Linked DNA regions of Neodiprion lecontei. Each later gene encodes a partner of the first gene's protein in a complex. Links are inferred from orthologs where the notes say so. Each region holds a gene or a part of one and is shown in the gene's direction. Other genes may lie near its edges.

Evidence for each region.
Region 2: MICOS complex subunit Mic60 (region 1) and MICOS complex subunit MIC13 homolog QIL1 share a complex: the UniProt entries of both Drosophila melanogaster proteins name them as parts of the mitochondrial contact site and cristae organizing system (MICOS) complex. The link is inferred for Neodiprion lecontei from reciprocal best matches to the Drosophila melanogaster genes Mitofilin and QIL1.

Annotation. Positions count from the first base shown.
Region 1 is NC_060263.1:18,781,955-18,786,940, reverse strand, and holds the start of MICOS complex subunit Mic60, read left to right. Parts: upstream 1-1,740; 5' UTR 1,741-1,830; coding exon 1,831-1,875; intron 1,876-2,270; coding exon 2,271-2,359; intron 2,360-2,901; coding exon 2,902-2,970; intron 2,971-3,252; coding exon 3,253-3,465; intron 3,466-3,666; coding exon 3,667-3,725; intron 3,726-4,115; coding exon 4,116-4,223; intron 4,224-4,382; coding exon 4,383-4,590; intron 4,591-4,731; coding exon 4,732-4,986. Other genes in the region: 39S ribosomal protein L35, mitochondrial, read right to left, coding at 506-740, 1,099-1,239, 1,316-1,487, 1,676-1,706. UniProt on the Drosophila melanogaster protein: Component of the MICOS complex, a large protein complex of the mitochondrial inner membrane that plays crucial roles in the maintenance of crista junctions, inner membrane architecture, and formation of contact sites to the outer membrane.
Region 2 is NC_060260.1:9,423,354-9,426,647, forward strand, and holds MICOS complex subunit MIC13 homolog QIL1, read left to right. Parts: upstream 1-1,705; 5' UTR 1,706-1,886; coding exon 1,887-1,942; intron 1,943-2,003; coding exon 2,004-2,163; intron 2,164-2,251; coding exon 2,252-2,449; 3' UTR 2,450-2,551; downstream 2,552-3,294. Other genes in the region: cytoplasmic dynein 1 intermediate chain, read right to left, coding at 1-52, 336-432, 541-642; proliferation-associated protein 2G4, read left to right, coding at 2,985-3,069. UniProt on the Drosophila melanogaster protein: Component of the MICOS complex, a large protein complex of the mitochondrial inner membrane that plays crucial roles in the maintenance of crista junctions, inner membrane architecture, and formation of contact sites to the outer membrane.

The DNA of each region.
Region 1 (4,986 bases):
AATGAATAATGAAAATCAATCTATCATGACTGGAAAAATCGAAAAAAAGAACACATTACAAAAAATCCCTAGCGATGTGACTTCTGCTAATAACTATAAAAGCAAGTGAAACAACATTTGTACTAAGCAAAAGAAGTGATATAGAAGAAATTCGAATAATGTGAGCTGAAATATCAACAGTCTGAGAACAGGTTTACATATTTAATTAGAATGTACTAGACGACCAAACTTAGATGCTTGTATTCTAACCCTTACATTTTTAGGCTCATTTTCCTCACTGATCAGGTTCCCATCAATTGCCTCAAAAATATGCAAGAAATCTTACCTATCGTTCAACAGTTTTTATCTTTTGATTCTTGCTGATTTTTTTGCCTTATCTTTGGCTAACTTTTATTCTAGTTTTTCACATTGTTACATTATATGTAAAATTGGTACGAGTTCAACATATACATCTAACCTCACGAATTGATACGTGTAAGGTTCGAGAAATGTATATTATACAGAATTACTTCAAAGACGGTTTAGTTCTGGTGAAAATGAATTCCTCTCTAGAGTGATACGGAGTGTAAGGATCATTGACGTAGAATCTAGGCCTTCGCCAGAAATTGGTTACCATCGTGTCCAGCAGCCAAGATTGTGTAGCATTTACGAAGACGTGCTGTCTTAGCCGTCTTCTATTCGCTGGCGACTTCTTCCAGAGTTTCTTATGTCGGCCTGTCTTTGTGCGAATCCAACAACCCCTAAAGTAGTAACACAAAATTAAAGAAACATTACTACAACATATATCAGAAACATCACCAAGGATTCAATTAGGGTGAGCTGCATTACTTTTTGGTAAGCAAAAATTACCCTTGTTACAGATTTCTAAATAGGTTGCACAGAGAGACTTGAAATCAATCGTGGTCTTTGTATCAAAAGGTTTGGGAACGGTTATTTGTTATTTCCTTTGTATGTTTTGAATAAATTCAAAAACCGGCTCTTAGTTGAGAATTTGTAAATGTGCATCGGGTTATTTTACCACTTAGAAATTTAAGAATACAAATTCATATCTGCGTATTTCTAATCAATGAAAGAAAACTTCATCAGTACAAAGATTACCAGTTCAGTCTGTAGAATCGCTTGATGACCGCCTTCACACATTTTCGTTTCCCTTTCTGGAGTGAAAACTTAGTCAACGTTCTCACAGGGACTTGCGTTGACTGAATAGGAACTGGCAAAAGCATCCCTGCTAGAGGTTCGCTGAGTGACAATAAGAAGGAATAAAAGACAGAATGAAATATGTAAAGTGTTATAAATTTCATTTAATGGCCGTTACCTGATTATCGAAACTCGCGAATCCCTAGCCGAGTCTACGAGGGGTCGAAAATAAGTAGAAAGGGCGCTGAAACATCGGCAATTTGTCGTCGCGGTCGTAAATCCAGTAGGGATGAGTTTAGAGAGATTTGAATGTCCCGCGCTTACTCCGGCTGCGCGCGCAGTTCCAGCGGCTGGAAAATCAAAATGGCAGTGAGCTCAGCACTGCTAACTTAACCTCAAAACTTGTTGTAATCCAGCTGCAATTTCCCCCGCGGACGCCGTAAGAGCGTGAAATGTAGGTGGAAACACGGAGAGGCCGATTGCCAGGTTGAGGAACGAGCCGCGGTCGAAAAATCCCGGCGAAAACCGGGGCACTCACCTCGCCAAGCCAGACCGACGATGCGCAGCATTCTGCAGCCGCTCGGTTAGTTCCGCGATTCCGCGGTCCACGATCAGCTGTTTGACTGCTGGGCCCCACGTTAGACCGTCGTTCCTTTTTTCCCCCTTGGCTGAGCGACCGGCCGCCCGCGAAAAATGTTCCGAATTGGATTAAAATTCCCGTGCAACGGTCTGAATCGGGTACGTAGAGCGTCTTCTGCTGGTCCAAATCGCCAGCGAAATCATGCGTCTGTCCGTCGCTCGCGGTATCATCTCGTAGATTTTTTACACGTTTATTAATGTTTCCGGCCATGGCGAAGCTCGAGGGCTGACACGAAGGTCGGCCAAATCGCCTTCCTCGGCACCTCGGTTCGAGGATCGTCAGTGTTTTTTTTATTTTCACTTATTAACCAACACCTTGGCTGTCTCCCATCGGTTTCCGTTGGGAAAGTTTCAGTCGTGTTGATATCTTCATTGGCTTCTCTTCTGAGCCGATGACAAGATGGCTTGACTCAGACACAGCAGCTTACATAATTCTATGTTACTCTGATCAGCTTCGCGTCATATGTACTAACACCCTGACCCTATGTTTTCAGGTTAAGAAACACGGGTATTCCAGACTCTATCTGCTCAACGCCAGGTATCACGAGACACGAACTCCCATCAAATGCGAACCCGATGGCAGGTGAGAATCGATTCTCTGTTTTCATTCGGCGCCACTCTTGTCAGTTTCTGGTTCGATCCCCACTTTGATGTGTCAACACTTAAAAATTTATCGTGTCGAAACCTTGACGTTGAAAACTTCATAGCAAACCAAGTTTTCATATGATGTGGCTCAGCACGATATAACTGCAATCCTATTATCAAATCTGATATTTTGCCCCTATTTCATTGATTTCATTCATTTATTTATTACTTTGTATTTGACTCGTAGTTAAATTTCTTCGAAGCAAAACGCTGGCGCAGTTGAGATCCTCAGAAATTACTTAATGACAGAAGCACCGATGGTTTGAGTCAAGGGTTGTATCAAATAGTACTGCGATTGGTTTTTCTTGAATCCTCTAGCGTCAAAGTTTCACAGACCTTATATTTTCCCCTTTTAATTATCCAGAAACAGATTTGAACTAGATTTTATCTCAAAAACATTTCCTTGATTCATTGCAGTTTGTTTAAGCTGGTATTTTTTTTGGCAACGTGTAAATTACAGTGGCCAGTTTCTGCTTTCAGACTTCTAAAGGACGTTAAACTTACGTCCAGATTTTCTGGACCTAAGTATTCGACCGAAGCACCAAAAAGGTATTTGAAATGTGTGAACCGAGATATTCGGCCAGCTTGCATGTTGTAAAAGTATATTTTTCTGCTGTTTAACAAGACTACCGGTTTTGTTTGCATGTAGGGGTTTTGATAGTGGGTGAAATTTGGAAATAGAACCACATTTTCGGCCTGTAATTTCTTTACTCTTGAATGAGGTTTTAATCATTCTGCTTATAATTATTTATGCCAAATTTGCATGATGTGAAGTATTGAAAAAATAATTGCATTACAATCATTAATTTCCCAACGTCAAATCTTCTGCAGAGAGAAAACCCGAGGTTCAGGTGGCCTGATAACACTCGGAGCTTTGACAATCGGAACGTTTGGTATTCTCGCTTATGCCAAGCAAGATCCAGAGTTCAGAGAAACGTTGGAAAAATGGATTCCCGGCAGCAACAAAGTGATCCAAATCATCTTTCAAGAGGAACGATCACTCTTCGATTCTCTGAGAGATCTTTACGAGAGAATTACGCAAAGGTAATCATAGTACAATCAAAATACTTTTCTAAGATAACTTGAGCACTAAACACCTGATTCAAATCTTGTCTGGTTCATTTTTCACGAACTTTATTGATGAGATAAAAACTGAGACAAACAATGCAATAAAGCGGAACCTGACAATAGAACTCCATCTAAAAGTTGTCGTTAAAAATAGCTCATTCGACTATCTTTTTGCAGCTCCAGTCAGCCAGATTGGAATCCATCGGAAGTAGGGAAGAATCCAGTGATATCAGCCTGTAAGAGGACCATAGAGAATTATATACGTGAGCCCTGTCCCTCCCATCCTTATTATCCTTACTTGCTGATTAAAAGATTATGGTACAGTTCAAATGCCGCATAATCGTGCATGGCTTAAATAAAATCCGATTCGCTTACTGCCAATATGATACAAAACAAGCTGAAGCAGTCAATACTGTGAATGAAAATTCGGACCGAACTGTGCCATGTAGTTTCTCCCAGGTTACACTGCCCTGCATGATTATTTTTAAACATTAATTACTGACTTACAAACTGTAATTTGGTAACTTGACTAATTATTTGAACTGAAAGTGAGTGAAAAACATTATGTATGTGTCGAGTGGACAACTGCACAACTTACTCGACTAACAATTCATGTGTTGCTTTAGCTCCGAAATCAGCGTTTGAGACATTGTCTGATGTTAAGGAACCGCCGAAGAATGAACAGTTTTACCAAATCCGCTTCGTCGGGGACCCAAAAGACGAAGTTGAACTCGGTACGTTGATAACGACGGTCAACGCCTATTTTTGCTAATTATTTTTCACTAAAAACAGCTTTCGAATAACGTATAACTGTCCCAATAGTCCAGAAACCTAACAATATTCCCAAGCTCGTTACTAGCAACAAATTATTCACCATTGCGCACATTTTACAGCTTCGAAAGAGGTTTCATCACCAGCCAAGGATCATCAGGACACTTTGCTGCCTGAAAATCTTGTCGAACTTGAGGCGTCCTGTGGACAGGCTGCTGCAAGAGCAATCGAAGCTTATCATACAGCAACGTGCGCGATCGAGAAGTACAATAAAGACGTAGTCAAAGTAGTAGAAAACACCGAAAACACAGACGTTCAATTTTGGGACAGGTGAGAATGCGAGCATCAGTTCGACATCGTTGAGAAGTTATAAAATCCAACAAAGTCTGTAAAACTCTAGTTTCAGTTTGACTCTAAATTTTTTTCATGTTTTTACTTATGTTTTATGTGTTTTTGTTCTTTATATAAAAGATTGAAGGATGCAACAGAGGCGAGGAAAAAGGCGCTGGCTGAGGCGGAGAACAGCGCAGGCGAGGCCTTGCGTTCTTTGAGAACATTGTCGAGCCTGATCGACGACCCGAAGCTCGCTGCATCCCCTGTTTCGAAAACGGTCGCGAGACGAAACATCAAGAAAATAATCGACGACGTTGACGAGGCAAAGCAGAAGTTTGACAAAGAGGCGCAGAGCGCCAATGTCACCGAAAGGTATTGGAAACAGGTTCTCAG
Region 2 (3,294 bases), on another chromosome or scaffold:
GCACTTTGCTCTGGCGTCAAAGAGTTCATACTAGAGAGACTGGATAATACATCTGTAAGCATATAAATGTATAATAAAATGTGGCATTTTTTAGATAATATTACTGAAGCCTGACTAAAGAAATTTTCTAAACATTGATCTTAGCAGAGGATAGGTTTTTCTAATTTACCTGAAATATGAACAAAACATAGTCTTTCATTAGTCACAGAAACTGACAAACATAAAATGGTTATAATTCAGTTTATATTGCAATATTTAAATATAAATCCACTAATAATGTATGACGAGGAATTTTTCGACAGCGTGAAATACGTTTCAAAGTCTGCATTTTTTACCTGATACCGGTGCTACCCCAAGGGATGATAACATGGCATCTAAGTCTTTCCGATGGTCTTTATCGGCACCTGCAGCTCGTACAGTCGCTTCCTCAACCTTGTAAAAAATATTACACATTTTGGAATAAGAGAAGAATGAATTCAATATTCTGGTGAGAAGAAATCCCTAATCAGTGATGTTCTGCCGCTCGATTTTTCTTCTTACATCTTTTTGTTCCTTTTCTTTACGCCGCCTTTCCTTTTCCTCTCGAATCGCCTGCAGCTTGGCCTTCTTCCGTTCTAATTCTGCTTTTCGATCCGACATCATTGCAGCAGTGCCCCTCTTCGTTGTGATGAAAAAAGATTCGTAGGTAAATATTTGCAACAAGATAAGATATTTGTTTATTAACCCTGTACACTGAACGAACAGATGTGACTGAATTTCAGTGGGAACCTTTTGTATCGTATGGATAGGTGAACACGAACCATGAAACAGATTTCATAAAAGTTTGAAAATTTTTGTTTAAATCTAAGTAAAATTCTTATGGATTCAGGTACCTAATAGCATTGACAACTGTCAAAAGCTTGAGGAAACGTTATTTTAGATGGGAAAGGGGGTTAAGACCAATATGTTCGTACATTTCCGGATTGAATACAGAAAAATCGTATTTTCGTAATGTACCGGTAACCGCCGACCGCCTTTTAGAAATTCAATGCAACGCTTTCGTGATAGGGTAGATACACAAATGTAAAGAGTTATTGATTTCTTATCATACATATCCTATAGATATGTGCATATGTATACCTATGTGTATCCACCTTGAATGCCACGTTATGATTCACGAATGACGTAAGTGAAGGAATATTTAATAACAGCACGAGAAAAGTATTGTCAGTAAACTCTATTCCATTCTTGTCCATAAACGAAAAATCATTAGAATTCTCAGCGTGTGTCAGGCGGATAGCAGCTCGATCTAGCAAACCGTACGGGTTCGAAAGTTTCAAAGATGAGTACGAAGCTCCGAATAATCACGAAGTAAATCATCATTTACCTTAAAATATCAGAATCAAATTCACTTAGCACCGAATATTATATACTTTAGAAGAAAAAAAATCACTAAGAAGTTCGCTATAAACGTCAACCGACTCTTTACCCGTTACGTCTGACGTACGGATCCATTTTCCTTCACACGCTATACTCCGGACTCGCTTTCCACGCTGTGAATCAAAGGAGACATTACAACTAATGAATTATGGATGAAAACACACGCATATATTTTTTGTATTCAAAACTAATATTTTTGCATCTGACGGTATTTCTTTACAATAATAATATTAAATATATAAATAGTATTTGAAGGTGTTTTCTTTTCTTCACTTCCGGCTGTCATCTTTTACCACGGAGTATCAAGAATTTAGATACCGATCGCAGACGTAACTTAACCTAACCTACAAACGACATTTATGTAATTTAATCCGAATAATCGACTTCTTGCGTGGGTGATATCCGTCGTTAATCGCTCTTTGCAAAGTAAATTATAAAAAAAAAAAAAAAATAAGTTAGATAAAATAATGGGCGTCTTGCGGTTAGTATATGCATTGAAGTTTAACGAAGCTCTGCTGGCACGGTATTTGACTAGACAGAATTTGGATTAAGGATGGAATAACACATCTCAGTTTACATTACAGATTTGCTGTGAAGGCCAGCGTAGCCGGTGGCTTTACTTATTACACAATTCGAGAAGGTCTTTGGTCCGATCCAGAGGAAACTGTAAAACTGTATGGTAGAATGTACAACAACATAGCACCATACGTGAAAAGAAATATTCCCAAGGAAGTAGCAACAGAGGTAGACCTTAGGCTTCGAGTATTGTTATGGTTTTATGTGTTAGAATATGAAATTTCAATTAATTGATCGGCGCTGTATTTTATTCTAGCTTCCCGAACTGCCTAGTGTCACAGACATTACGTGCTTAGTTAAATCCTCATGGAACAAGGGCGTGATTACAACATTTAAGTTCATATCGAATTTACCTGAACACACATCTAATGCAATCGAGGCGAGTGGAATCAAAGGCGCTATTCTTAGTGCGATAGATTCTGTCAATACCCCCGAGAAACCAGCTCAGGCTTAAGAATTGAATGCTTGTTTTAAATAATTAACATATTTATTTTATTGTCGTATTAGTGGCAATGCATAGTTCCATGTGTAAATAAAGGAGATGTCAAACTCTGAACCAACTCCCTGAATTATTTCACGTATACCCTACTGTGTCGTACAAGCGATCTTATTTACCCTAGTGATCTACCGATGAAGTTGTGAAAGGTTTTACAAGACCAAGTTGACAAAGTTGTTGAAATCACAGATGATTGCGCAGTAAGGTGAAAAACATTACATAGGTCATTAAAACTTCGAATCTTAAGATCTATCGAAGAAGACCACCTGAAAAATATACTTTGGAGGTTCTTTGTTAAATCATTGATTATATTCAGCAGCTGCGTGGAATTAGATCGAAACAATTTTAAATTCCCCCCACAACTCCCGGGTCAGGGATTTTCCGTTGCCATGTTTCCGGTTCCGCCGGGAGCGTCTTTGGTCCAGAGCGCCATCTATTCTTGGATGAAAAGCAAGAGCAATTGTGTCACGTGACCGGTCAGTGTGCAGAAGACATGGCGGACAAAGAGGAGGCTGAGAAGACAATCGCCGAGGACTTGGTTGTCACCAAGTATAAGATGGCCGGCGATATAGTAAACCGTAAGAAAATACAGCAGAATAAAATGAGGATTTTAATGAACATAAAATATCCACCGTAACAACGAGAATCTCTTGAGTTTCGAATAAAATTACCGATGGCCATATGGAATGTGGCGCGCCAATGCCGGGCCTCCTGGCCATGTGGGTTGGCGTCGTGCCTAATGAACTTTTTCACGTCGTTTCGCAATTAATAGTTAATTAGTTAGATATGTCACAGCTATTTTT